Nothobranchius furzeri: one gene and its partners. The protein of the gene in region 1 interacts with the protein of each later gene in a pairwise test. Links are inferred from orthologs where the notes say so. Each region holds a gene or a part of one and is shown on either strand. Other genes may lie near its edges.

What was found.
Region 2: the proteins of ntaq1 (region 1) and pts interact in binary tests that used the Homo sapiens proteins (3 or more experiments, as listed by UniProt). The two-hybrid records come from large-scale screens. The link is inferred for Nothobranchius furzeri from reciprocal best matches to the Homo sapiens genes NTAQ1 and PTS.
Region 3: the proteins of ntaq1 (region 1) and eif2b1 interact in binary tests that used the Homo sapiens proteins (3 or more experiments, as listed by UniProt). The two-hybrid records come from large-scale screens. The link is inferred for Nothobranchius furzeri from reciprocal best matches to the Homo sapiens genes NTAQ1 and EIF2B1.
Region 4: the proteins of ntaq1 (region 1) and cdab interact in binary tests that used the Homo sapiens proteins (3 or more experiments, as listed by UniProt). The two-hybrid records come from large-scale screens. The link is inferred for Nothobranchius furzeri from reciprocal best matches to the Homo sapiens genes NTAQ1 and CDA.
Region 5: the proteins of ntaq1 (region 1) and asl interact in binary tests that used the Homo sapiens proteins (3 or more experiments, as listed by UniProt). The two-hybrid records come from large-scale screens. The link is inferred for Nothobranchius furzeri from reciprocal best matches to the Homo sapiens genes NTAQ1 and ASL.
Region 6: the proteins of ntaq1 (region 1) and gas7b interact in binary tests that used the Homo sapiens proteins (3 or more experiments, as listed by UniProt). The two-hybrid records come from large-scale screens. The link is inferred for Nothobranchius furzeri from reciprocal best matches to the Homo sapiens genes NTAQ1 and GAS7.
Region 7: the proteins of ntaq1 (region 1) and ppcdc interact in binary tests that used the Homo sapiens proteins (3 or more experiments, as listed by UniProt). The two-hybrid records come from large-scale screens. The link is inferred for Nothobranchius furzeri from reciprocal best matches to the Homo sapiens genes NTAQ1 and PPCDC.

Annotation. Positions count from the first base shown.
Region 1 is NC_091759.1:9,346,575-9,350,236, reverse strand, and holds ntaq1 (protein N-terminal glutamine amidohydrolase), read right to left. Parts: upstream 2,263-3,662; 5' UTR 2,169-2,262; coding exon 2,104-2,168; intron 1,915-2,103; coding exon 1,815-1,914; intron 1,604-1,814; coding exon 1,553-1,603; intron 1,471-1,552; coding exon 1,322-1,470; intron 1,252-1,321; coding exon 1,127-1,251; intron 1,039-1,126; coding exon 896-1,038; 3' UTR 568-895; downstream 1-567. Other genes in the region: ribosome biogenesis protein bop1, read right to left, coding at 3,217-3,370, 3,457-3,564, 3,645-3,662. UniProt on the Homo sapiens protein: Mediates the side-chain deamidation of N-terminal glutamine residues to glutamate, an important step in N-end rule pathway of protein degradation.
Region 2 is NC_091756.1:21,286,707-21,291,021, forward strand, and holds the start of pts (6-pyruvoyl tetrahydrobiopterin synthase), read left to right. Parts: upstream 1-1,513; 5' UTR 1,514-2,005; coding exon 2,006-2,082; intron 2,083-2,776; coding exon 2,777-2,856; intron 2,857-2,938; coding exon 2,939-2,961; intron 2,962-3,062; coding exon 3,063-3,119; intron 3,120-4,315. UniProt on the Homo sapiens protein: Involved in the biosynthesis of tetrahydrobiopterin, an essential cofactor of aromatic amino acid hydroxylases. Catalyzes the transformation of 7,8-dihydroneopterin triphosphate into 6-pyruvoyl tetrahydropterin.
Region 3 is NC_091746.1:40,378,749-40,382,852, forward strand, and holds the start of eif2b1 (translation initiation factor eIF2B subunit alpha), read right to left. Parts: upstream 2,810-4,104; 5' UTR 2,513-2,809; coding exon 2,500-2,512; intron 2,415-2,499; coding exon 2,313-2,414; intron 1-2,312.
Region 4 is NC_091743.1:52,750,858-52,755,066, forward strand, and holds cdab (cytidine deaminase b), read right to left. Parts: upstream 2,803-4,209; 5' UTR 2,599-2,802; coding exon 2,370-2,598; intron 1,875-2,369; coding exon 1,763-1,874; intron 943-1,762; coding exon 885-942; intron 742-884; coding exon 616-741; 3' UTR 358-615; downstream 1-357. UniProt on the Homo sapiens protein: This enzyme scavenges exogenous and endogenous cytidine and 2'-deoxycytidine for UMP synthesis.
Region 5 is NC_091750.1:61,113,841-61,118,149, reverse strand, and holds the start of asl (argininosuccinate lyase), read left to right. Parts: upstream 1-1,505; 5' UTR 1,506-1,665; coding exon 1,666-1,680; intron 1,681-1,824; coding exon 1,825-2,019; intron 2,020-2,336; coding exon 2,337-2,420; intron 2,421-2,490; coding exon 2,491-2,547; intron 2,548-2,618; coding exon 2,619-2,716; intron 2,717-2,792; coding exon 2,793-2,870; intron 2,871-2,952; coding exon 2,953-3,030; intron 3,031-3,415; coding exon 3,416-3,468; intron 3,469-3,569; coding exon 3,570-3,632; intron 3,633-3,725; coding exon 3,726-3,840; intron 3,841-4,309. Other genes in the region: esterase OVCA2, read left to right, coding at 1-130.
Region 6 is NC_091756.1:21,480,209-21,484,254, forward strand, and holds the start of gas7b (growth arrest-specific protein 7), read right to left. Parts: upstream 2,876-4,046; 5' UTR 2,664-2,875; coding exon 2,484-2,663; intron 1-2,483. UniProt on the Homo sapiens protein: May play a role in promoting maturation and morphological differentiation of cerebellar neurons.
Region 7 is NC_091744.1:66,310,532-66,314,692, reverse strand, and holds the start of ppcdc (phosphopantothenoylcysteine decarboxylase), read right to left. Parts: upstream 2,807-4,161; coding exon 2,591-2,806; intron 2,320-2,590; coding exon 2,224-2,319; intron 1,917-2,223; coding exon 1,788-1,916; intron 1,678-1,787; coding exon 1,509-1,677; intron 1-1,508. Other genes in the region: hacd3 (very-long-chain (3R)-3-hydroxyacyl-CoA dehydratase), read left to right, coding at 2,995-3,072, 3,691-3,733, 3,805-3,878, 3,973-4,137. UniProt on the Homo sapiens protein: Catalyzes the decarboxylation of the cysteine moiety of 4-phosphopantothenoylcysteine to form 4'-phosphopantotheine and this reaction forms part of the biosynthesis of coenzyme A.

The DNA of each region.
Region 1 (3,662 bases):
AAATATCCATTCATTATTTTACAAGCACAGAGAGCCGCATCAGATGGATGGAAGAGCCACATGCGGCTCCAGAGCCGCTGGTTGCCGACCCCCGTCCTGGTCAGAGTTGTTGTTGTCGCTCATGTTTGTTCTAAAGAGATGTGCATTTCTCAAAGGGACAAAGAACTCAAAAGAAAATAATCTTAAAGATTGTTTGATTGATAAAATAAAACAGGTTGCTTACTTTATCTGGATGTTGCTGTCCTGAGCTTCTTCCAGAAAAGAATTTGAAACCAAACATGCCTGATCCTCCTGTTTAAACCAGTGTCCTAACCACTCCTGCCATACTGAACACAAACATATGACAGGTGAAAGTGATTGCACAAGTTCCACCAGTCATCTATAACGGTAAATAGAACTTATACCCAAACACAAATCTGCTGTTAACTAGAATCTGCATAATTTCACCAAGTTTTAATTGTTAAAATATTCTGGAAACCAAGATTCAAATTGACACCAAAAGTTACAATTATACATTTAATTTTTATTCTATCATTGCGCTACAGAGACAGAGAATCCAACGCGATCAAAGATTAAATAAAATCTTTTTATTTCTCAGGAACTCAGGTGAAATCAAGGTGCTGATGCTCAAAGTTCTCACAGGCGTGTGTGATGAAGGATCACTTCAGTTTCCAGATGAATCTGTGACATGGCTGAAGCGCTGTCGTCGTCATGTTTCTGGTTTCCTCTGAGCTTCAGAGGCCAAGGTGAAACTCAAGAGAGGTCAAACGAGATGCAGCTCAGCCCAAAACATAAAGTTCAGTTCAATGTTTGTCTCAGTCTCTCAATCATTTCAGATTAAATGTTCATAATAACATAAAAGCTAATCACAAAACAGCAGCTGCCAGGATGCTGATCAGGATTGAGCTGATGATGAAGATGAAGAGGTGGTGGAGGAGCAACCTAAGTATTTCTGTAGAAACTGATTCAGACTGAAAACTGTCCCCCAGCCAACAGCTGGGCTCATGCTGATGAAGTCATCCAGGTTCATCTGACACCCTGAAGAGGAAATGCACCAAAAGTACAAAATCACCTTTTCCTAAGACAGGAATCAGAAAACATGCTCCACATTAACTTGATTTGTTACCAGTGGTCTTTAAAGGGGGGTAAGAGGGAGGGGGCTTCTTCCAGCTCCCATCAGGGTTCTTCATGTGAGTTCGATCAGACGCAAAGTTCAAGAGGAAGCTCTCAGCAGGAATCACACGCAACTTCCTGTCACAGATATGAGAAGGTGTTGGTGATTTCACTCCAGTGCATTACCTGTGTAATTCAGCAGTGCTACCTGTGATATTCAGGTTTGATGTGGTGGTCTGAGCGGAGGGCCTGGCTGCCATAAAGCCTCAGATTGCATGGGAATGACAGCTCTGTGTCCAGATCATAAACCAGAACCTCCGACTGAGGATCCACATGAAGCAGGATCACATGGTAGTCCTAAAACACCCAAAAAAACATGATTAACAATGTATTATTTTAATGCTCTGAGGCCACTTTAACAGGAAGGAGAATCATAGACCCAGATCACTGGATGGTCAGCGTGTCCAGACTTCTGCTTCCACAGAGGAACCTGAAGGAGAACAAATAACATCACTGATCAGCAGCAGCAGCAGAAGTCAGATCTTAGTGAAAATGTTGATTCTTTATACAAACTTGGCAAATTTAAGGGGATTCGTGATGATTTGTTAAACTTTAGACCTGTTGAGACTAAATCTGTTGAGTTAAATATGTTTAAAGGGTTTTGTAACACATGACAAACTTCTCAGAGCTGATCTTCTCACCATTCTGTTGTCATTAGAGATGAAAACCACAAAGAGCTGTTCCAGTGGAGCAGTCCTCGCTGTTTGAACAAACTCACACAACTTCCACACATTCTCCTCACTGCAAAGCAAATTAAGACATCACTAATCAAACAGCAAAAATAATCTAATAATAATAAAATCATATCCATAAGAATGTAGCAGCTACCATTTAAGCCAACTGCGTTTTGCTACAAAATTTGATGAATAATTATGTAAAACCCAACAAACTGGAGTTTTTTTTAATCATGATGTAACAGAATGGATTTACCAGTAACAGCTGGTGTAAACACAGAACTCACGACTCGGTGTGATTCGATCCTTTACTGCCTTCATGGTTCGGTGTTACACCGAAACCGCTCCGACGGTGTCACTTCGAAATGTGTCCCCATGGTTGAAAACTCTTGTCACATCAACTTCATTATAAAGAAAATTGTTTGTTTTTTGCTACAAAATTTGACGAATAATTATGTAAAACCCAACAAACTGAAGTTTTTTTCATGATGTAACAGAATGGATTTACCAGTAACAGAACTCGCGGTTCGGTGTTACACCGAAACCGCTCCGACGGTGTCACTTCGAAATGTGTCCCCATGGTTGAAAACTCTTGTCACACCAACTTCATTATAAAGAAAATTGTTTGTAGTAAATATTCTAAGAACATTTTGCAGACCCTGGTACCCGAATATTTTCGTTAAACATAGTTCCCGCTTGTGTTCAGCACAACTGATACATAAAGAAAGCTGATATTCTTAGAGATTTTATTCTTAAGAGAGGCCTTTAACCTGGTTAAACAACAGATACAACAAATATTCCCAGGCCTGCGCAGTCGTGCATTTACATGGTTATTACAAATACTTTTACTATTAGAAACAAGCTTTGTACAAAATACCCAAAAACTTGGTTCAAGTTAAAAATATCCATAATGATGAAATTTGAAGCACAAATACTTTATATTTGGGATAGTCCTAATTTCTGCCTCTGGCAACAAAACAAACAAACAAAAAAAAAAAACCTTTAGAGCTGTAATTATGTTGATAATTTTAGATAATTTTATTTCCTTTTTGAAAGCTGTAATAAATGGTCTTGTTTTTCAAAAAGGTAACCGCAACACAAACTCCTTTAAAATGAAGGCAGACAAATAAAACTACATTTTGTAGGTTTTAAAAAAAGAATCAATAATTCTCCTAGTTTTAACATACAGAGACAAATTGTAAGAACAATATATTTTATTGAAAACAATAAAATACATTTTATTGAAAACAATAAAATAAACTACAGAAAACAAAACAAAAAAAAAAGAAGAAGGTATCCTGGTAATCAGTCCATTAGGGAGGTCAGACTCCTCCCACACACACACAGAGCTGCTGCTGGTTAAAACACTTTAGGTGAAGAGCCGGATGGTGGCGTCAGCTCCTGAGGAAAAGACCCACGGCTGAGTGGGGTGAAAGATCACGTCCAGAACACCAAGATCGTGGGTGATCACATGACCTCTGAGAACTTTTACAGGTACTATCAGCGGGTTCTGAAGCAGGTCGCTGGAAGAGACGGCGGCAAGTTTTAATATCCTGTCTTTTATAAGTCTTGTTATGAATAGATTTTCAGGGTGTGTTTGTGGTCTTACTTGTAAACAGTCCCGTGACAGACGATCACCGATCCATCATCAGACGCCGAGGCAAACAGAGGGTAACCTCTGTGATAGGCCACACCCCTCACTGCTTTCTTATGGTGTCTGAAGGAAAGAAGTGATCAAAAAGCTTTATTAGAACTGGCACAATGACAAAGACTACTGATGGACTCTTAGGAGCGTACCGCAGCATTTTGTAAGGT
Region 2 (4,315 bases), on another chromosome or scaffold:
ATAAACACATTCAACGCCATTCTTGTCGGCCTACGTACCCTTAGCAGAAGTCCCCGTTAGATCAGGAATGTCGAGGTCCAGCTTGACCTTTATGGAGTCGAAGCCTGTAGGAACAGCTGCGGCAGCCAACCACCAGTCTTGAGATACTTCCAGGTCACTACAGTTTGTTGGCATCTAGCGAGACCCAAACCTGGGTCGTGATGGTTCAGCTTTTATTCTGAAAGGAACCGCTGCAGCAGGTGGAACAGCAACAGATTTTATCCAGCTTGTCGCTGGTTCTTTTGGCTGAAGAGGAAAGTTACGGATTTGTCAACCTCTCTAGAACGCTTTGAACTGGCGTTAAAGATGACGTGGGCATAGTTTTATACTTCGGATGTTTTGGTTTATGGTCGAATGAAAAGATGGCAGATTTACCAACCACCAGGGGTGGCGTTAGGCCCGGCTACTTGGGCTGAAGCCCCGGATCTTTCATGATAAGCCCCGGATCTAAATCGCGGAAGTAACATGCAGTACCAAAGTCCAACAGAGAGAGCGCAGCTGGCAGTAGTTTGTAAAGTCCCATTTAGTCGTCACACACACACAAATTTATTCTCCGCATTTGACCCATCCCCTGGGTCAAAATAGCTCGGGAACTATTTGGTGGTTTAACCCCCCAATCGAACCCCTTAATGCTGAGTGTCTAGCAGGGAGGCATTGGGTTCTATTTTTCTCAAAGTCTTTGGTATGACCCGACCAGGAGTCGGAACCCTGATCTCCCAATCTCAGGGCAGACACTCTACCACTAGGCCACTCAGTCGGTATACAACCTGCCTGAGCCTCCACCACTGAAGAGAAGCCCTTTAGCAGCTGGCTTCTTCTACAATCTCTGTTTGAAACGCATGAGTGAAGGTGGACATAAGGACGTTTTTTAGACCAAAAGTACAACGACAGAACCCCAGCCCTGATGAGACTGGTGTTGACTCAGGTTTGTGAGTCTTATTTGAAAATATTTGTTGTGCTGCTGGTTTGCCTAAAGTTAGCTTACTATCAGGTAAAGTTGTTGGAGAAAGAAAGGGAATATTTATAATATATAAAAATATATAATATCATCTCACACTAAACACTAACAGGAACAATACTCTGCCCTGAATATGCTTAATATGTAGCTTCAGATTAAACATTATGTGGTACAAGATATATATATATATATATATATGATGTTGACTAATGCGTGTCACGTGTGTGTGCGCATGCGTGTGTGCGCGTGCGCGCGCGTGTGTGTTAAGTCCCGGATCTTCTTCAGTCCTAAATCCGCCCCTGCCAACCACCACCCAAAAAACGCCTCCATCAGATCTGGCAGATTCTGATTGGATCAGTAAAAGCAATGTGTCATGTTGTAATGCTACGTGAGATCAGTCCTAGTGGAAACAACACTCTCTGCATGAGGCCTTAAGCAAAGATATTATGGCATCTTTGATTGGTTGCACGTCGGCTATACCTGTTTTTCTTTCTTGGAGGCCATACAGATGTAATGCGTCCCTGGATGTGTGACACAGTTTGTTGCTGAAAATTAAATGTTAATTTCTGTTCATTTGGATGAAAAACTCGACCATTGGTACGCTACACTGTGCTTTGCCTAATCATTAGCTCTTTGGACTTATAGAATGTAAAAGCTATTTCTCTGTGCTAAGGCTGTTCATGGAGGTATCTCCAACATAGGTAGTATTTTTTTACAACCTGATTATAACAGACTGATACCTCATGAGGATAAAGTAGCAAAGCAAAAGTTAATCATAGGCTAGTTTTATAGAACAAAAATGAACGTTTTAATGTGTTGGATTTTGGTTTGAGGAAGACCGGTGCGAGAACAGAGAGCGTGTCAGGAGCCAGCCCCCCCAGGCTTTAAACGGGGACATGTGAGCTTTATTTACGCCCTAATCTGAGCCAATGAGCCCGGGTCACATGGGCTTTATATCAGCACACCGCTCGCGTCAACCCCTTTCTCCTCAGCATCAGCGCTCCGATCATGGCCGGATTTCCAGCGGAGCGCATCGGTTACCTCACCCGGGAGCAGAGCTTCAGCGCCTGCCACCGGCTCCACAGGTAGCCCTCTCCTTCACCCATCCTTCAGGAACCGGGCCTGTCTGAGGCTCGAGCCGAATTAAGCTCAAAGTCCCCCCGCTGCCGGGGCTGGCTCCGATAGGTGGGCTCGTGCCCGTTAGCTATCTAAAATCATGGAAACACCGCGCTGCGATTACGTTATATCCTGACGAACGTAACAAAAACCCTAAAAACTAGACAAACCACTGCTGTACAGTTTATAAAAACCAAAGTTGTAGTTCTAAACCTTCTGGGAATTGTAGTATTTCGCTAAAGGCTTCACGCGCGTGCGGACTAATGTTGCATTCACGTGCTGTCTGATTTCCCAAGAGGTCTGACAACTGAGAAGTAACGACACAGGAAATGCACAATAACTAATGATACCGTGCTGTTTAATCCGCGGTAGTTTCACTTGTTAGGGTCATTATGTAAAGACGTTTAACTTTTGTTTACTCACACAGTCCTAGTTTGATATTTTTGGTTTATAATAATAATAACAACTTCATTTAGAGCTAGAGTCACAATGTAAATAAAATACTTGTTTATTCAGATAAATGACCTAAAAGCTGTTGTATACAAGATGTACCTGAAGGCAACACAAGTAAACAGTGTCTTGTGAGGTTTTTCTTGTTTGACTAACAGGAGCACATTGCCCAGATACAGATACAAGGATAAAAGGTTGTATTCTCCTCTGTAGTGTCCACCTGAGTGATGAGGAGAATAAACAAGTGTACGGAAAGTGCAACAATCCCAACGGTCACGGACACAACTACAAAGGTTTGTTCTGCTTCTTCATTAATCCATGTTCTACCATTTTATGGGTGTTCTATTCATCCAGATACATGATTTTACTCCACAGTGGAGGTAACAGTTCGTGGAAAGGTGAGTTTGACATAATTCTCTATGACAACTGTGTAGGATGCAGACTAGCCCTGTTAATGATGGTACATAATCTCCATCCCATTTTAACCCTGTGCCCTCAGATTGACCCCATCACTGGCATGGTCATGAATCTGACTGAGCTGAAAAGATGCATTGAGGTAAGACATTTCTGCAGGTCTTCCTTCTTAACACTGTTTAATCAGACAGACTATGTTTAAACAGGCCATTCATGTTTATTAATGCAGTAACACTCACAGGCCACTTTAAGTCACCTTGGACAAAAGTGTCTGCTAAATACATAAACGTAAACATAATAGGAACACTTTACCAGGTTGGGGCCCCCTTTGCCTTCAGAACAAGTTCTGCCTAAAGGTTGGTTTATGCTTGACGCGTCCTTGAGGTTCGCACAGCTCCGCGCGGAAAAGTTGCGTCATTTTAACAACCGCGCCTCCGCAAGGCCCAAACTTTCCGCACCTAGGAAATTTTCTAACCACGCGGACATGGAAAAACATGGCGGACTGGCCAGAACTAGTATGGCGGAGGTTCGTAAATACAGACATTTGTATGATTCAACTCTCAGAGATCACCGTGATCAACATGTTAATAATTCTTGGAGAGAAATAGCTCGCACTGTCGGAAAAGACGAGGACGCTGTTAAAAAATGCTGGAATGCCATGTTGTAAACAACAGTAGTTTTTACTTCTACTATGGTGTAGTGTTGGATGCATGCCGTAGAGCTCCATGCTGCCCCCTACAGTTTGGGAGAATATTGGCTCACCGCAGAGACGAGCCGCATGAACCATAAACGCTGCGAGTTGTGAAGCGCGTTCCATCCGCGAGCCGCATCACCAAGCGGAAAGTGAATGTGTCAAGCATAAACCAAGCTTTAGATCTTGATGTCATAGACTCATGATGTTGTCAGCCTTTATTTACAGAGCACCTTGTAAACATGAGTCATGTCACCAAAATGCTGTACAAGACTAGAATATGGAGCCTAAGTCACCCCCACCTACTGCTGGACCATGGTGAAAATAAGAAGTAATGAATGGGACCATAAAAGCTATGTTCCACTCCCGTTTGACATTTGCCATGGATTTCTTATGTTTATGTTTATTTATTTAGCAGACGCTTTTATCCTAAGCATCTTACAATTTATAACCTATAGGGCATGTTGTAATCTGTGGGGGAAACCGGAGTACCCGGAGGACAGCCACACATGCATGGGGAGAACACGCAACTCCACGCAGAAAGGCCGCAGCCCAGTTTCGAACCTGCAACCTTCGTGCTGCGAGGCAACAGTGCTAACCACTGCGCCACCATGCAGCCCATTCTTATCTGATGTCCGCTAATTAAA
Region 3 (4,104 bases), on another chromosome or scaffold:
CAGCTCATATTTAAGTGATTTGATTGAAACAGGTGTGGCAGTAATCAGGCTTGGGGGTGGCTACAGAAATTGAACTCAGGTGTGAAACACCACAGTTGGGTTATTTTTTTAACAAGGGGGCCATTACTTTTTCACACAGGGCAATGTAGGTTTGGATTTTGTTCTCTCCCTAAATAATAAGAACCATCATTTCAAAACTGCATTTTGTGTTTACTTGTGTTATCTTTGACTAATGGTTAAATGTGTTTGATGATCAGAAACAATTTGTGTGACAAACATGCAAAAAAATAAGAAATCAGGAAGGGGCAATTCGTTTTTCACACTGCTCACAAAAATTAAAGGAACACTTTAAAGAAACACATTAGATAGATCAGATCTCAATATGAAGTTGGATATCTATACAAATAACGACAGGGCAATGTCTTAGGAACAAAAGGATGCCAAGTCTTTTAATGGAAATAAAAGTTATCAGCCTAGAGAGGGCTCAACTGTGTTAACACCCTAAACTCGGAGTGAAATGAAGATGTGGCAGGCTAGTCCATTATTTCAAAAACTTAATTTCTGCAACTCAAATTGCTTTTCAGTATCTTGTGTGGCCCCCACGAGCTTGTGTACATGCTTGACAACGTCGGGGCATGCTCCTATTGAGACAACAGATGGTGTCTTGTGGCATTTCCTCCCAGATCTGTGTGAGGGCATCCCTGAGCTCTTGTACAGTCTGAGGAGCAACCTGGTGCTGCCTAATGGACCGAAACATAATGTCCCACAGATGTTCTATTGGGTTTAAGTCAGGGGATCGTGAAGGCCATTCAATTGTTTCAATTACTTCATCCTGCAGGTGCTGCCTGCATACTCTTGCCACATGAGGGCGGGCTTTGTCATGCAGTAGGAGAAAACCAGGACCTACTGCATCAGCGTAGGGTCTGACAACGGGTTCAAGGACTTCATCTCGATACCTTATGGCAGTCAGAGCACCATTTCCTAGGCAGTAGAGGTCTGTGTGTCCCTCCATGGATATGCCTCCCCAGACCATCACTGACCCACCACCAAAACCTGTCATGTTGAACGATGTTGCAGGCAGCATAACATTCTCCTTGTCTTCTCCAGACTCTTTCACGTCTATCACAGGTGCTCAGGGTGAACCTGCTCTCGTCTGAAAAAAGTACAGGGTGCCAGTGGCGGACTTGCCAATTCTGGTGTTCATGAGCAAATGCCAGTCAAGCTCTACGGTGCTGGGCAGTGAGCACAGGGCCCACTACAGGACGTCAGACCCTCAGGCCATCTTCATGAAGTCTGTTCCTGATTGTTTGGGTAGAGACATTCACACCAGTGGCCCTCTGGAGGTCATTCTGTAGGGAACGAGCAGTGCTCAGACTGTTCCGCCTTGCACAAAGGAGCAGATATCAGTCCTGCTGATGGGTTGTGAACCTTCTACGGCCCTGTTCAGCTCTCCCAGAATAACCGCCAGTCTCCTGAAATCTCCATGTTCTGGAGATTGTGCTGGGAGACACATTAAAACCTTCTTACTGCAGCACGTGTGGATGTGCCATGCTGGAGAAGTTGGACAACCTGTGCAACTTCTGTAGGGTTAAGGAATCGCCTCATACTGCCAGTAGAGAGCCAAAACTAGCACGAGTGGAAAACCAGCAGAAAAAGCTCAAGAGGGAGAAACTTGAAATGACCTCTACATGTTAAACCAGTCCTGTTTTGAGGGTTTTGTAATTGTTGCCACTTTATGGATGGATTTAATTGATTTCATGCCAGGCCCAATAAAAAAATTGTTCCTTTAATTCTTGTGAGCAGTGTGTGATTGATAGATTGATGGATGGATGGATGGATGGATGGATGGATAGATGGATGGACGGACGATAGATAGATAGAAAAATACAAAAAGACTACAAGTAATAAAAATACTTTAAAATTCCAATCATACATTTGGCAAACATTTCAATTCTTTATAATTTGCTTCCAAGCAATCAAATCATCTTGTAATATTTTAAAGAGATCAACCACTCTGTAAACTTTCTGAAGGTCTTTTTGTTTATATCTCAACTTTGGCTGCTTAAAAAATGAGTGGAAAAATCAGCCTAAGTCCTTAAATGTAAAAGATGTTGAATAAACCTGGAGGTTTGAATTTAAGAAGAAATACTTGCTTTTTGAAAAGAAAATTGTTCTTAACCTAAAATGATTAATAAGTGGTAATTATAATCTGTAATATCAAAAACATAATGGTGCTTTGCTTGACAGTATATCTGAAATTAAAGTATGAAAACATCCATACTGAGGTGGCATATATGAGGTGACATACACACCTTTGTCTCTTTTGAGAAACTCCAGCAGGGTGCGGATGGCCGCAACGGCAGAGGCCATGCCCGGGTCTTTCCTCATCTGAGCCCTGAAGTACTCCACCAGCTCTGATCCAGGACCACAGAGACAGGACAGTTTTAGCATCGGCGAGTCCACAGCAGAGCAGATAATCCCTCACATGAAACGCCTTACCTTCTTCATTCATTTTGAAATAAGATAGGAGCCTAAAAACCGCTATTCCAACTCAAAACCAACCTCTGGACGTTTTATTAGCAAGAATCAGTCAGTTTAGAGATGTTTAGACAGCACCAGAACCGCTACACCGCAAAGCTGCGGCCTCAAATAATTCAGAGAAGCAAAACTGATGTTTCAAATGTTTGATTCAACCAAACCTTTTTACACGCCAGCAAGAAAACAGCTCTCAAAGTCTGAATAGTTCTGTTGACACCATCTAGAGACTTTCACGCTTTTAGCTTCACGCAGCGAGTTGCGTGTCGCAAGAAAATGACGTAGACGTTCGTGTTACCTTCATGCACATTACTTAAATGTAAAGCTGAGTCTACAAGTTAGTTTTATGAAAATAACTAAAATAAATTAAACTAACTTGTGAATAAGGTTTGACAAAATGGAGCAAATAGATGCAAAATGTTCTAAAATATGACAATATACACATCAAAATAAGAAGTCGAACAATAATATAAAATAGAAACGAGATGTCCCTAAAGAGACAACAGACCAAAAAAACAAAATTTGGCCCTGACATTTATTTATAACGAACCAAAATGGCCTGTTTTACATCTATGCTGCACATCAGGGCTGTGCAGAGACCTTTGACGGGGCGGGAGCTCAAAGTAAAAAAAGGGGCACTTATAGAGCAAAACTTTTAAACAGATTCACAATCCAACAGGTTAGAAAATTCAGATAATGAGACCCTTGGGTTCAAACAACATAATAAAAATATATCAATTAGTGTCATTAGTGTTAATGTTAGTTCATAAATAATTGTTTTAGTTTATAAAGCTGACTTATATCTAGAGATGTTACAACCACATTTTTGCCTCTGATCTGAGTCCAGGTTGTTTGATTTTTGATTATCTTCCAATACCGAGTACTGTTCTGATACCAGGTGGTGATGCAATGAGTTACAAAAGAAGAAATAAGTCATCCTTCTGTCTGTATTTGTCATTTTGTTATTTTAGCCTTAAAAGGTCACTCATTCAGGAAGTACATTTAACAGTATTCAAGATCATTTATTGCTATTTCACAGGTGTACAACCAAATTGACTTTGAGCTTACTAAAGACAGCTCTAGCAAGAAGTAGTAAAATAAATGCAACCACACAAAGTTATCCAGTGTGATCTACAGCTATGTTAGCTGAGATCTTTTTCCTGTCAGTAGAAAATTCTTGATCCCATTCCATGATCTCACTGAACTTAGCACTAAACATGAGAGCTCTGCTACCAACCTAACAACAACATCCTTTACACAAAGGCACCATCATCACATTCGTGGCAGGAGACTCAGAGAAACTTAGAAGAATCTTCTCCAAACACAACATCCCGGTAAACTTTAACCCAACAACACCCTCAGACAGAACCTGGTCCATCCAGAAGACAAAACACCCCAACAGAAGCTCAGTGGGGTAGTTTATGTAGTCCAGTGTAGGAGCACTGTCCAGATGTTTACATTAGAGAAACTAAACAACAATTACACAAGAGCATGGCACAACACAGGAGAGCCGCCTCTTCAGCAAACTCTACAGTCCACCTACACCTGAAGGACAAGGGACACACCTTT
Region 4 (4,209 bases), on another chromosome or scaffold:
ACTTGTACTTAAAGCCTGGAAATAACAATCTAGAGTTTGACTTTAGTGCTTTCTCTCCTTTTGATGAACAATTTAGCCAGAAAAATCCGATTTACCTGATATCCCCCCCCACAGCTCTGAATCCAAGAGAAACAATATGTCTTCTAATCTTTAGCCTCTGAATGTTTACGCATGATAGGTAGACTTAAAATAACTCATGAATTAATTTTGTCACTTTGCACTGGCAGCTTACATGGCTCTTCTTTTTGTCTCTTCAAATAGAAACATTTGCAGTACACTGATACAAAATATGTTCTTCTTTTGTTTGTCCTTTGAACTGAAACTGTGTTCATTTCTCAATAAGGAATGAAGCGTGACTCCATTTAAAAACTATTTATTAAAATGTGTGACCATTCGTTTCTGTCATGCTTCTTTAAACCAATAAATATTTTTACCAACATAAGTTGTGCATTTAATGCTACTGAGGAAGTAGACATGAAATCATTGCATCAATAATATTTTTCCCTCTCGCAGTTGATTTAAATATAATTTAGAGACGGCATGAGAACAAACTTCTCACCATAAATATAACTGCTGCTAAACACATATGAAGCATGCTGTATCACTACAGCATGTTCAGCTAAACACTTTGTTCATGGATAGATCCTCAGGGCCAAACGAGAGGGGCAGCAGCTCGTCCACCGTCCGCTTTTGATACGATCCATCAGGCTTGGACAGGTAAACGTCCCAATTGGACCCAAACTGTAGGTCAAAAAAACAAAAACTTCACATTTCACAAAAAGGAACCAGCTTTGGCTAGTGCTTTACTCCTGCTAGTGCTGATTAGTATGCGTGCTGCTTTAGTGACTCATTTAAACTCTGCAAATGGAACAAGGAGCTCAGACCTCTCTCATGAACTGTCTGCAGCCCCCACATGGAGAGATGAACTGGTCGCATAAGTCACTGCAAAAAACAGAAAGTTGGAAAACGTAGCAGAAAGCAAATGGGGTTTGGAGGAATTTACAAGAAAAATGAAACTCAATTGTTTGGCTTTTATGAATAATTTGGTAATTTTTTACAGTACTTTGTGCAATATCAAGCATTAATAAATAAGGGTATTAAAAACTGCTTAACCATATTAATGTAATGCATTGCTTAGCAGACCCTCTGCCCACTCAGCCATTTGTCCTAACCTTTACAACGGTAGTGACACTAGGTAGTTGTGCATGCTTTTAGCACCCCCTAGTGTCCGTTTTTAATTTACTGTAGTTAAACCGAAAATGAAACTTATCTCCTCGTGCATTCATCTTTTAAACACCTTAATCTTACTGCTGTAGCGTCTCCTCCGTCTTCATTATCTTCTAGAGGAGCGGTTTATCACTAAATCAAACAAATCAGCTGTGTTCACCATCAGTAACATGCAGGGAACGTGCTGGAAGCAGACCGCTCCACCATGTCTGCTCCACTCCACTCAACCCCCCTCCCCCCAGCAGGGACAGACCAGCAACTCTGAAGTTGCAAGTGTGATATTCTGGCCAGAGGGGGCGGTGGGGTCTGAGTGACATTCCATTAACCCTGTAAATAGTTATTTAAGCACGAACTGGCTCAAGGCAATTATTTAAAAATATGAAAAATGTGCATAGTATCCCTTTAATAAAGGGATTATTTGTTTATTAGTGCTTCATAATGCAGTAACGTTAATAGAGGGACCCTTACTGTAAACTGTTACGTTATTCTTGAGGTGAAAATAAATGCAACATGAAGCAATACAATGTACATTTACCTGGCGATTGCAATGGCCTTGAAACTCCTGTATCCTTCTGACACGGCCTTCGAGATGGCGTTCCTTTCAGCACACAGTCCCAAAGTGTAGCACGCGTTCTCTACATTGCACCCTAGAGAGACACACAAAGACATGGGGTGACTTAACTTATGAGGGGCATTTACCTTCTGGAACAGTGTTTACTTCTGCTGGCCTGTTCAAATAGTCAGAGGGGTCTTTGGACTTGCAGCAGTTTTCCAGTCATCGCCCCGTACCTCCCCCACGTGACAGGACAGGTGACTTGTCCAGTGATGCTGACAGGAGCACCGTGTCTCCGACTTCTGTTTGTGCACATGCCGACTGTACTTACTGGGTGTGGAGAACGTTGGCCTTTTACTCCAGAGCTTTTCTCAAGTTTAGACATTTGACCTGATGGGTAATCATTAACATGATCCAGCAGTATGAAGATCAGAGCAAACGGATGCACTATTGTGTTGTTTTAATATTGAATTCTGTTATGTCTCCTAGAAGGCTTTGACTCAGACACATTATTTAAATTTTTTTATACTAAATATAATAGAAAAGCATGGGCTTAAAGAGGAAATTACCAACATTTTGCATAGCTCACCTGTAAACACACAGTTGTCGAGGGTCATGACAGCAGCTCCCACCCGGAATTTGCTGTAAGGGCAGTAAGATTGCGTCTTTACCTCCTGCGACTGATGAATCAGTTTTTTAACCATTTCTTGGCTCAGGTCCCTGGAGCGACTGACAACAGTGATGTCCCGTCGGGAGTTGACTCCATCCATAGTGGCTCTTGGCGTTTTGTAGACCTGATTTTGACTGAATGAGCTCATTGTGGCTCAGCTTTAAATGTGAATGGGACCGAGGGGTGAAAGGGGTGAGGACACAGTCAGCCAATCATTCACCAGGGAGTAAACTTACCATAATTACCCTAACCCTGTCCAAAGGAAGAGGACAGATTTTTATATGGATTTTAAAAGAAAGGTGTGATGTACTTGACAGCGGTAAACAGTGTTGCATTGGTGCTGGGGGGTACAGCTACTCACCTCTAAACCAGATACTTTTTATCTTGTCTTTATTTTATTTATTCCTGCATTAACTTTATTGTAGCCCAGATGAAGAGCGAACCCACACGATACGTACATATCAAAGCAAAGGGTTCTGCAGTGGCGTCAATGCTTTTGTTGTTGAGTTTTTAAGGCAGTTTGCCGTAGAAAAACAACACTTCTTGAATCTATGGAAAACATTGAAAACCTCTTAAAGCCAGTTACTTATAGCTGGAAACATTGTTCAAGCATTGGTCCGGATCTCAGGATATTGGAGTGTTACCAAATTATTTGTTTTTTTCTTAAGTTATAATAATTTTATGGTCGATGCAAAACATGTTCAACAAGTTTCATCCATCCATCCATTTTCTTCCGCTTATCCAGAGTCGGGTCATGGGGGCAACGGCCTAAGCAGAGAGGCCCGGACTTCCCTCTCCCCAGCCACTTGGGCCAGGTCTTCTGGGGGAGCGCTACCAAACCGCGTCCCCAGACCAGCTGATAAATGACACAACAGCAGAAATTAGTTTTGAGCTAGACTGAAGCCTTCAGTCAAAAATCTCAGCAGGTATGACAAAACATTCTTAAAAGCACAACTTTTGTCTTATTAAAATAAAATAAATGTTTTTTTGTTTATAACAAAGTCATAATTAACTTATTTAATATACTGAATTATGATCGTGATATCTTCCACTAAAGAACCTAAAAGGTTTTATTTTCATCAAATTTGTAACAAATGTGTCAAAATTTAGAGGGCAAGAGATACACTTGTCCAGGTGGGGACTGGGACATGTCCCTATGCTCCCAATGGCTAGTCCGTCAATGCACTTGGCCATTACTGAATGTAAAGATAAGTTCAAACACTAAAGTGTCAATCAATCAATCAATGAAAACAGTGGCAAACAATTTTGTTCAATGATTATTAATATTTTAACTTTTCAGCGAGAGCTTAAAGTGGCAGTGTGTAGTTTTCTGGCACTGGGGGGCAGTACAGACACACATTTCAGGGTAGTTTTATACCATATCGCCATGACTGTTGCTAGTTTAAATAAACTAACAAAACTCCTGTAAGTCGTACGTCCAGCCAATCATCTAGTGTGATGTCATCGACAGGCGCAGGACCCCGAGCCAGCCAGAAGGAAACATGGTGTCTATGGCGTCCTCCAAAGACTGCAATTTAGACCAGATTTTTATAGTTATATGTTACAAAGCCTCCAATGTTTTTCAACATCTGGACGTCATTTTATTCTTTTTGAACAACATTTCGATGGATATTTCCAGAGATTAATGATAAAAAACTACATATTGTCTCTTTAATAATCCAAAACAAAATAATCAGTGTGAGAAAATACGAATCTTTATTTTCAAGTCTCATTTAATTTTTTGTCAAGTGAAAAAAAA
Region 5 (4,309 bases), on another chromosome or scaffold:
CAGCATGAGTAGGGAGCTTCTCCCCTGCTTTCAGGATTCTCAAGTCCTTATTCATCCTGGTGGTCATTTTGTTCCTGCTGCATCTGTTCACAGACAAACATATCAGGACTTTCTGAAAAGGTTTTCTTGAGAATTTAAAACCTAAACAGAGTCAGGGTATTTTAGCATCACAGCACTGTTCAGGTGCTTAATTTAAATGATTTCTGTGTGAATATTTTTTTCAGATTTTTCATTCGATCCATCCAAAATGTTTATTATGACTCATTCTCAGGAAAATAGATATTGTATCAAACAATAAATAATGGTATTTGACGTTTTTGTGAACTGTTTTTTGTCTTGGGAACTGAGCTTTATTATGCTTTTAGTGATATTTTCGTACTTTTGATCAAGAAAAATGTAATTCTCCTTTGTTTCTGAATGTTGGGAAAACTAAAGAACCAAAATTGGGAAAAATATTTACAAGAGCATTTTTAAACACTATTATTATCGTAATGCTTAGAGCTCGTTCTGAAAAGAAAACTTTAGTCCCCCCACCCCACCAAAAAAAAGTATTAAAATGTAAATACATAATACTATGGAAGCCCATTCCTGCCACTCAGATAAAAAAACAATGTATTATCTCATTATTATGACTTAGCTATCTCATTTTGAGATAGTATCTCATTATTATGACAGTATCTCAATTATGACTTAGCTATCTCATTATTATGAGATAGTATCTCATTATTATGACTAAGTCATAATGAGATAGTATCTCATTATTATGACTAAGTCATAATGAGAGTATCTCATTATTATGAGATAGCTAAGTCATAATTTTGAGATATTTTTTTTTATCTGAGTGGCAGGACTGGGCTTCCATATAATACACATTTTTCTATTACAATTTGTTTTTGGTGGGCCTTTTAGTGTGTTTTAACAATTATTTGTGTTTTAATGTAAAACTTCAGAAATTTGTCAAAACGATCACTGTCTGTAACTTTCCTTCTTTTGTACAGTAGGCCTACATGAAAATGGCAATTGTTTATTGAGAAAAGTTATTGCAAGAGTCCAGAAACGTGTATAAAATATCTTTCTGTAAACACCATTCCAAAAATGAGTAAATAATTACTAGAAATATTTGAAATGATCTACCTAAACAAACCATTACTAGAACAATAAGACACAAAAAGAACAGTTAGGATAAAGATTTAGATAAAATAGTAACACTACAAATAAATAATAAAAGAAATTAAATAAATAACGATTTATTAGAGAAACACTTGGAAAAACCCAAATTAGTTTCCGCTGGTGTTATGCCGAAAAAGGTACCCCCTGTCGTTAACAGGATCTCAGTACACGAACTTGCGTTTGATAACAGTAGTTTGTTCTTACGGATTAGAAATCCAAAGTTAACCTGTTTATTTTGATTTTTATCTATTTTAAAATCCAAACCTTGCTTTTTACTAGCTGGGGAACCTTCTGACGGCGGGGTTGCTTTATTCTGCACAACACCAAAAGACTTCCGGATACGGATACGGACCACGTAGCAACAGAAGATGCTTTCACGTCTCTGCTCCGATAAAAGCGAAATCCTGCCACCGCCGCTTCGTTCTCGCTGCTTGTCGGCTTCTAAAATCCACTCGGACTAAATTTACCACCAGATAGAAACGCCTGTCGATCACCATGGCCGGCGCAGAGGTATAGGGTTTAGTTTCAGTGGTGTTGTTTTGATTTTAGCCGTCAACCGGACGACAAACGCGCAGCCAAAAACCGCCCGGGGTAGTGTTTGTTTGAACTTATTCATTCTCATTTTTTCATTTATTTTCCTGTTTTTTGTCACAGGGGGCTAAACTCTGGGGAGGTCGTTTTGCCGGAGACACAGATCCGATCATGAAGAAGTTCAACGCCTCCATCCCTTTTGACCAGAGAATGTGGGATGCTGACATCCGAGGGAGCAAAGCCTACGCGAAAGCTCTGGAAAAGGCTCAGCTGGTCAGCACAAAGGAAATGGAGCAAATCCTGACTGGCATGGATCAGGTGAGCGTATTCAGTAAACAACTGGAATATCTGAAGCTCTGTTTGTTGGTCTGCTGCAGAAGTTTGTTTATGTGCACTGTGGGCTCTGGTTAATGCACGACAGCTGAAAATGTGCCATGGCGGAGGATTCCTATTTCCTGCTGAGTGTGTCATGCACAATAGTTGCATCACATGACAGGTGTCAGCTGCAGCAGCTCCAGTTACAGATCCATTCAAACCAGTTTTCAACATGCCCTCTATTTCCTGATGTGTGTCAGTGCAGCTGGTGAGGGAAAGCAAATGCACTGAAGAAATAAATAAACCTGATAACCCTGCAGATTTTCGAGGAGTGGTCTACAGGAGTTTTTTTGATCAAACCGGAAGATGAGGACATTCACACTGCCAATGAACGCAGACTTAAAGTGAGTTTCACGAGCAAAACATGCAGTTAGTGTACTGACTATTTTATAAAAATGCTACTTGTGTTTGCAGGAGCTGATTAGAGCTCCTGCAGGGAAGCTGCACACGGGCAGGAGCAGGAACGATCAGGTTCGTATCTGCGATACTAAACAAGCAGCTGATAGAGTTTTGAGCCTTTGCTGTTTTATTTGGTTAATCAGGTGGTGACTGACATGAGGTTGTGGCTACGAGATGCGATCAAAACCCTCACAGACAACTCCCTGCAGCTCATATCTACCATGGTGGAGCGGGCGGCAGTGTAAGGTGTTAAACACACTCTGATGGATAAAAACACAAGTTCTCGTCTCATTTTCTGTCTTGTGTTTGACTCACAGAGAGATTGACGTCCTTTTTCCTGGTTACACTCACATGCAGAGGGCTCAGCCAATCAGATGGAGCCACTGGATTCTGAGGTGATGAAAACCACAGAGTTTATCACTTTTTTTAATGTTTCTGAGTTTTTCACGCCAGTCTTTTGGGTTTTTCTTTCGTCAGTCATGCTGTTGCATTAAGCAGAGATGTGGAGCGGCTTTTGGAGATCAAGAAGCGAGTGAACGTCTTGCCTCTGGGCAGGTGCGCTGTAATTCAGTTCAATTCTATTCAAGTTTATAGCGCCAAATCACGACAAGAGTCGTCTCAACGCACTTCACATAATAAACATTCCAATTCAGGTCAGTTCATTAAGCCAATCAGAAATAATGTTTCCTATATAAGGAACCCAGCAAATTGCATCAAGTCACTGACTAGTGTCAGTGACTTTACAGCAATCCTCATACTAAGCAAGCAAAAAGCGACAGTGGAGAGGAAAACTCCCTTTTAACAGGAAGAAACCTCCAGAGAATCCTGGCTCAGTATAAGCAGCCATCCTCCACGACTCACTGATAATAAATCCGCTTGTGTGAGTGCAGCTTTCACACGGACCTGATTAAGTAACCAGAAGTATTTCTGTTTCTTTCAGCGGAGCCATCGCGGGAACCCCCTTCGACATCGATAGGGAGCTTTTACGCAAAGGTTTTGTTTTTATTTTTGCATTTGACCTGCAATATTTTTAAATTCACGACATAGATTATTTTTAACAATCTGCACTTTTTCATCCTTCACTGGATCTATAGAGTTAGGATTTGATGGCATCAGCCTGAACAGCATGGACGCCACAGGCCAAAGAGACTTTATTGGTATGCAGATTACACATTTCAGATTATCATGAAATGCATGATGTGCTTTTCTATTTGTGTTTTAATTTGAGCTATGTCTTGTTTGTTTTTAAGTGGAGTTTTTGTTCTGGGCTTCTTTGTGTTTGATCCACCTCAGTAAGATGGCCGAGGACCTCATGCTGTACAGCACCAAGGAGTTCTCCTTCATTTCTCTCTCTGATGCCTACAGGTAAAGGTTTTTTGTTGTTGTGCCTCTGAATTGTGTTTTATAAAGGTGGATGGGTCGTCCTTTCAAAGGTCATGGTCACATGACCACTACTCGAGAGAAAATGATGAAAAACAAGAATAAGATTTATTATAAACTCAACTGAAGGTGCATAATAAATGACATCCTGTGGTCAGTTTGTGGTACTGCAGTCTGTGTATCAAAACCAATAAGTCCACGCTTAGCTACGGTTGCCAGTTATGGATCAGTGCCAGAAGGTTCTAGATAACAAGTGATGATGAGTCATACACAGTAAGTTGATGAGTAGATAAAATGTTTTACTGTAACATCAAGTTGTTTGTTATTGAAAAAGTAGCTTCTGCGACACTCTTTTTACTAGCTTCCATTCGTTTCCACAACATTCTAGCTTTTTTCCGGTTGGTGTAAACAGCAGCGTTTGCTGGCGCAGACTTTACAACCTTGGGGGCTCGCA
Region 6 (4,046 bases), on another chromosome or scaffold:
TTAGAGGCAGGCCTCTATTTCTATTTGAGCAAAATGAACTAATGGTTCGCTGGAGTTTTTGACAATTAAAATTGCGCCCACATTTTCAAAGTTAAACACATTTCTTTTAACAACGGTAGTCTCTGCTTCAGCCCTCTCCCCCCTCCCCCTGCTTCAGCCCTCTCCCCCCTCCCCCTGCGCAGCGGCCGCAAACTCACTGATGCGCCTGCAGCCTCTCAGAGTTCCTGCTGCTCTAAACATTAAAATAATTATTTCATTTTCTGTTCCTCACTTCTGATTACCTTCAATGGTGTCTGTTTGTTGCATCCACCAGGTACAAAAACTAACTTGTTTTTATTTGACTATTTTTCTGTCCTGCCTGTTTATTATCTTCCTGCATCTCCTCTCAATCCTAAAGAGAAACTGCTACCTGGGGTCATATATTTTCACCTCATGAGTTACCTTTGAACTGCAGTTCTAAAAGATCTACCGACCGCAAAAACAGCGGAGTGCTCGCTGGCCACATCAGTTAGGTGCGTCACCGAGGACAAAACAGGTGATGCGCCCCGCTCCACAGCAGCGAAAAGCATCAGGCACAAATAAAAGAATAAAAGACAGAAAACATAAAAGGAAATGAGCCGACATGAATGATCGTGTGTTAAATTAGTTTTTGAGGTGGCGACACCTGATTTGATAATGTTACTGTGGCCGTGCTCAGGACGCAGATGTCTGGAGCACGTCAACAATCAGAGCTTTGCATGCGCAAGCTGGTTAAGGTTAGGATGGGGGTGAGGGGAAGGTTAAATTGCAAGAGGGTAAAGGTCACAATTTAGTTAAATGTCCGTTTTACGGCGGGTGTCAGTACCGACGCTCTGGCACAGCGCGTTGCCTCCCGACGCGCAGGAGCTTGTCACCTGCTGGGAGCAGGTTGCTGTCTTTTCCATGTAGGGCTGCAGCTATCGAATATTTTTGTAATCGAGTACTCTATCGAATCTTTTTTTCGATTAATCGAGTACTCTAATAAATTACCCTTTTGTGTTTGTAAACCATTATATCAAATAGCATGTTATAATTATGAAAGACCTCTTAAAATGAGAAAGCAATTGCCAGTTATTCTTCAAGTTTTATTCAAAATTAGTTTGCAAAACTTCAGCACTTCAACTTTACTTCACAGTAAACAAATGCCTGTGCAAAAAATAACAACCTGACTGCCAAATTGCTATTTTTAGCACATTTTAAGTCCGAAGTGTTGCTACCAGACGTACGGTGTGAACTGAAACTAAGTGCTACAAATGAAAAAGTCGCAGTGTCCGCAGAATATATAGAAATACAGGCTAAAATGCATCATCTTGTAGAGGCTCCGAGTCCGCTTGCAGAAGTGACATTTACAGGTGCTGCAGCATCGAGGATGTGGTGTTGTGGTAGGCTAAATCCATTTTACAGTATTTACACTGGACTACGTTTTCCGCATTACGACGTAAAAAATGGTCCCACACCTTTGACATTTTCTGTCTTTTTCTCACTCCACCGGGGTACAAGTTGTCCGCCATGGCTTAAGAGAAAGTTAAGTTACATTCGCTACTCGCTGTGCATTCAGTCCAGTGGGCATGTGCGTCACTTATTTCGGTCCGGGTGAAACATGACCCCGGGCGATTGCAAAGCCATGAATTAATTAAATATGAATTCAACGAATCCTCGAGGCAGAGAATTTGACTCTAGGATTTCTTGTACTCGAATTATTCGAGGTACTCGAGGAATCGTTTCAGCTCTATTTCCATGGACTACATCTTGCCGGTCATTATCACGTGACAGCGACTAGTCGATGACAGGCATAAAAAGTCACTATAGAGCGGTGAAGTCGACTAGTGACTAGTTCATACAACCCTGCTACTGCTCCCCAGAGTGTTCTGCAGCATAATCAGCACGTTCTCTTTGAACTTGATATCAAATTTTCGCCTCCTCTTCGTCTCCGCACGGTTAAAGTTACCCTCGCGGTCTATCACTGGCAAATCAAAAGTGAGACGGATGACACAACCGCCCCTGTACTTGCTTGTTACCACATTCCACCCGGCCACAATAAAAAACCGGCCATTATTCACCTCCGCCGACACCGGCCAAAATGTTGCCAATATTAGAGGATTTATGGTATATGTTAAAACAAATGATGGCAAGAGGTGAGGGGGGGCTCAAGTCTGTGCTTCACCTCCGCCCCAAAATAATTTAATTCGCCTCTGGAGACCTGGTGGGGCGTGTGGCTTGGGGGACCTGAACGCATCCCTGGAATGTGTGAGGAATGAGGAAGCCGCCCAGTCGGAACCAGCAGGGAGAGCTGCGTATCAGCGTGTGTGTGTGTGTGTGTGTGTGTGTGTGTGTGTGTGTGTGTGTGTGTGTGTGTGTGTGTGTGTGTGAGAGAGAGAGAGAGAGAGCAAATAAAGCTGTTCAGAGCGTTTTGCTCAGAAGGCTCACCGCTGGAGGTTGTTTTGGGGTCAGGACGGGTCTCTTACCTCCAGGACCTGCACGTAGCTTGAGGGGAACCAGCCCCGGGCTCCATCCTTCTCCCCCTCCCACCAGCCTCCGGGTATAGCCTGGACCACCCTAATCATCTCCCCAGCCTCGAAGCTCAGTCCCTGCTGGTGCTGCTCCCCGCTGAACGGGTACAAACTTTTGCAGTACGATCCGGACATCACCGGGACGAGACCAAACTTCCCAGTCAGGCGGTGTTGCTGTGGCTGCGCGATGGTCGCTGACGGAAACCCAAAAACAAAGAGAAATCTGGTTTGTCTCGTGGGAGAGGAGGTGAAACTGGTGGTGAGTGGGTGAACTGGTTTTTCTCCTCCTGCTGCTTCTGTCAGGACGCCCCTCAATCTCCGCTCTCCTCCTTCAGCCTCCGTCAGGCTTCTTCACTCAGCTGTGAAGCGACAGATAGTAGTGACGCAACAACACCGAAACCGGAAGTAAGCCGTCAAAGTAAAAGCACAGCAATTTTGCCCTTTTTTCTCGTTTGTTTGCTTTAATAAACCACTTTATTTCTCGTTTACAGTTTTAAAATATCTCCGGTTTATTCTGCAAAGATCCGAAACATGTAAATACATGTATGTGAAAGGTTTTCTGTGTTTTTAAATACCATCTATTTGCATAGAACACACTATGAAATGTGTGTGACACATGGATTAATATATGTCTATCGTTACATGATGTCACCACCAGCACTTGAATCTAATGGCTGGTTAACTTAATAGGAGTGTGTTTTTATAGAGAGTTAGTATAAAACTCGGGTGACTGTTTACATCAGTGTGACAATTTGTATTTATTAAAACCATGAATCTTAGGGCCAAGAAGTGGTCATTTTCTTCTTTATATTTCCAATGTTTCTGATGCAGGATTAACTAGATCACCATCACCGGCAGTGGGGCGTTCACACCCTCATAATAAGGTTGTTATGGTTGCAGAAGAACACCTTTAGATGACTCTTGTGACTGCGGTACAACACATTAGATTTGTTAAAAACCACATATTTGTTAGTGTCTTGAACAACTCGCTGACTCCAATCAAACTTTGTAAGATGGTGCTTTTCTGGCAGAAAACCAGGCGACAGGATCCATTTATTTAAGATGTTTTAAATTAATACATCGTTTAGAAAAACTGCTCTCAACTGCCTAAACTATATTTTATAGCTTTTAACAGCTTTTTATTGTGCACAAACCTCAATGTGGATCAGAACTGGTGGTCGTAATGTTTTGGCCAGTTTGGTCAGTTACAGGAATAACCAGCAGATTACAAGTTAACAGATGTGTTACAGACTGACAAAAACACAAACATTTTATAATAAAGCTGGGAAATAATTAAATGATTCTTTTTGTGTGGTATGACAATTTTGCATTTTACTTTGAAAGTCAGAACCGGAAATAACAGCTTTTATAAAGGCAAGCTTTCTGCTAGGGTGGTTTTGGTGAGCAGAGTGATTTGTGTGTTATTCTGTATCTCTTGTTTCATTGGTTCTTCTGATAGTTTTATAATTGATGTGTTTTTTATTAAAGGTGAGTTTTAACCTGTGCAACACCCATTAG
Region 7 (4,161 bases), on another chromosome or scaffold:
GGTACATTGTGCGCCAGTAAAAAGCATCTAACCTGTGTTAAATAAAGTTCTAGGGAAGAAAAGTTACTAGGAAAAGTGTCGCTTGAGTGCTATGTCTAAAAATAGTTTATCGCATACTGTTTTTCCATCACACGTGCGACGTATATGTCTCTCTTGTTCTGATCTGCCTCTGTCTGCACTGCTGCCACATACAGATGAGATGAGATTGGCTTAATGAACTGACCTGTGCTGGAATGTTTACTGTGTGAAGTGCCTTGAGACGACTCTTGTCGTGATTTGGCGCTATATAAATAAACTTGAATTGAACTTGAATGTGCGCATTGACTGTTATATAAAGGTTGCACTACACAACAATTTTTATCGCTTTCATTGATTCGTTGTTGCAGCCCTATCCATCAATAACATGTTTTGGAGCAAAAGCATCTGGACCTTCCAGTTGTCTGGCTCATCGAACCACCACACTTCCCTGGGTCCTCCATTCATTACGCACTCACATATTTAGCAGCAGAACACCACTGGTGTGAGAGGTTCTCTGCTCAAGAACATCAGAGAAGGAGAAACAACCGGCTGCTACCACTTCAACTTTAGGGTAAACTACCAGAGTCCCAAAAGGAAATAGTCACGCCATTTAAAGTCACGGACAACAAAAGACGTTTGGACCTAGAAGACGGCAACTGGTGTTTAGCACTCTCTTGCTTCATCCGGCATTACAGGTTTCCAGTCGTGCCAGAAGCGTCTCAGGGAAGATACCTGAGGGGAGGGGTGAGTGTTCCGTGACCGTGTTTGTGTTCAAAACCTAGCTTGTTAGCAGATTCGCCATAACAGCTTTAATGTGTTTTATTTCAGGAAGATAATACTCTTCTTCATTTGAATCTGTTGTTTCTTAAAAAAAAAATCTAAATTTCTGTTTATCCAAGACAGTGGTTTAATCCCACCCATCTCAGAACAATCTACTTTGGGATTAAATAAAACTGTACATGTACATGTTTATAAGCGTGTTAGGACTGCTTTGTTATGAGAGAGAGAGAAAACATAGTGCTTTTTACCACATTTGAATAATTTTCTGTTTTTACTGATCTGTAACTAAATGTTTATTCCAAACATACTTTAAAGTATCTGTAAAGTGTCCTTGAGTGTTTAGAAAGGTGCTGTTGAAATAAAATGTATTATTATTATTATTATTATTATTATTATATTTTGAATATGTTACATTTATATGATAACTTGTATTTCAGAGCACTTATAAATTAAACTGTTCTATTGCCTGACATTATTTATGGAATTTTTATTTTAGGTATGGTAACTTCACATAAAATATAACTGAGTAGTTTTTATAATGACTTGGCGCCATATTGAAACCTGAGTTGTGTCTTTTTATATTATTTTTGTTTTATCCAGTACAACGGTGGTTGGGGATTTTTTTTTTGTTTTGTCCTGTGTGTTTTTGTTTAGAGAAAAATGATATATGTATACAACCAATTAATAAAATAAAGACACTAATAACTCACCATCATCTCCACAGACTAGCTTCTTAGAAATGCAGGGGACTTCCACATATCCAAACTCTTTCAGCCTGGATACCTGCTGGGCTGTGATGGGATGCTGCCACATCGCTGTATTCATAGCAGGGCAGAACAGAAGAGGCCGACCAATGTCCCAGGCCCGTACTACACATGTCTAAAAGAGCAAATTATAATCACATTGAAAATAAACATGTGTAAAATGTGTGTTAGATTGTTTGTGTCATGGTTATTGTGAAGGATATGATTATGGATTCCTGCCCTCACCAGTAGATTGTCACAAATACCAGAAGCAATCTTTCCAAGAGTGTTGGCATCAAGTGGAGCAATGATCAGGAGGTCAGCCCATCGCCTTAGCTCAATGTGTAGCACAGGATCTGATCTCTGTGTCCAAAACTAAAAAAAGGAAAAATGTTTATTTAGCAAACAATCAGTGAGGCATGTATGTCCTAAACTTCCCACTGGACTGCAGGATGCAAACATTTCACAATCTTTTTTGACCCTGGACAACGTTTCTGTCAAACTTCTAAGAAATAACTAGAAAATTAGATGAATAATTATCAACTCACGCCAAACTTGAATTTATTTGTGAATTTCAACAACAGTACTATGCTTTATGAGCATGAAAGAATATTAAATAAAGAACTATGTTTTTAAAATGAGGAAATATATAGAATAATACACACGAATGGGTGTGTATTACCTCCCACTCATCTTTGTCACTGTAGATGTTTACTGACACCTCTGCAGGGTTGTAGAAGTGTTTAGCATGCTCTGTGGTGACCACCCTTACATCCACCTGAAGCAAAAACAAACAACAAAAACAAAATTAAATAAAAAACACTGACAATGAGCATTTATAGTTTCGTTTGAATTGAAAACTATTTTTAAACTGATGGAAATATTTTCGCAAAACAAAAAGGTAGATTTTTAAGTTTCTGGCAAATGTCCCCATCTTGCGGTTAAGGTAAGGTCATTCAGTTTAGGAACAAATCCGTGCTATGTTTCAAAATTCATCTGGCAACAGAGATTCTAAATTGAAGTTTGATAATAGTTGTGAATCAGTTCACCCCAGGGAGCTGGAGAAGCTCGGAGACCAAAGCAGGCAGTTTCAATGCTGCGACGCTTCCTGTTACGCCAACAAGTACACGAAATGACCCAGGAGGTTTCAGTAAATCCTTTTTCAGAGATGAAACGCTGTCATCTGTCTGCATGATAGCTGTAGATTCAGGGAGAGCTCCACAACTTGCTGCTGCGGTGCTGCGCTGATGCACATCCGTAAACATTAAACGAGAGCCAATCAGAGAAGAGAACTACGCTTCTTTTGACACGAGCACGTCGCTACGTCTGATTTGGAGCGCGCGCGCGTTGGTACTAGATTACGCGGGGTATTAGCTAAAAGCTTTCAACGAAGGTAGCATGAAATATTCACAATTTTATTTTTATTTTATTTGAAGGTAAAAAGTAAAATAAAATGACTCTCACGCCTCTTGTTCACTGGGCTCAACGTCACGAGGAAATCTTCCTGCGAGTGGAGCTGACGGACGCCCAGGTGAGTACTTTAACCTGGCTACTGTTAGCTTTATTATTTAGGGGTAAACACGGAAGCAAATTAAAAATCGAACGTTCGTGGAAACATGACATTTGTTTTGCTTGTCGGGAGACGATCTCAGAGATACATTGGGTAATAATCTTTACAAAGCTCCCTTCCTCGGGCTGAATCCTTCACGTGTGGAGTTGGATACGTTTTAAAGAAGACACGCGTGGGTTCGAGGTCCGTCTAGTGGATTAAAATAGCAGAAATATCCTCTAGCCCTTTCTGATGTGGAGGTGGATTGTTTCAGGGTGTTGAGATGACCGAATATTTAGTTTGAAGCTGCACTGCAAAGAAAATCAGGCATACTCCACACGTAGTGTTGAAGTCTTTGCAACACTGTCAGCTCCTGTAGATGTTTCTTAAGAGAAACTGAAACCATGACATGAAATGTACAAAGTTGGTTTCAAATGGTAAATCTTTAGGGCAAGTTACTTTTGTTGATGTGATGAAACTTAGTAATCATGTAAATGTTTTATATCCTACAGGTTTGTGCACATCACAGGAAGCAAAGCGATGCTTCAGTTAGGAGGAAGTTTGTGCATCATCAGTCATTGTTTTGTCTTTGTTCTGCAGAATATTGATGTCCAGGTGCAGGATAATGTCCTTCAATTCAGAGGTATGTTTATGAATTTCATGTATGTTTTAAAGGAAAAGTCATTTTTAACATGATTTGTGTTTTGCATCTAGCCCAGGGATACGGTGCAAAAGGACTACATGAATATGAGTTCAGCTTAGAGTTCCTTTTTCCAGTAAAGCCTCAGGTGCACATTTTATCCTAAATAACCTTCCTTTTCTCACCATCATACCATTTTATGTTATACTGAATTTTGCTGTAACATCAGTTTATGTTTCCAGGTGAGGCACAAGTCCACACAACGTCAGGTAAACCTCACAGTACAGAAAGAGCGGCGAGGCTGGTGGGAAAGGCTCACCCTGCAGGAGCGTAGACCTGTCTTCCTGACTCCAGACTTTGACCGCTGGCTGGACGAGTCAGACGCTGAGATGGAGATTTGGGAAAAGGTGAGAATAAATAATAGTTTTTAT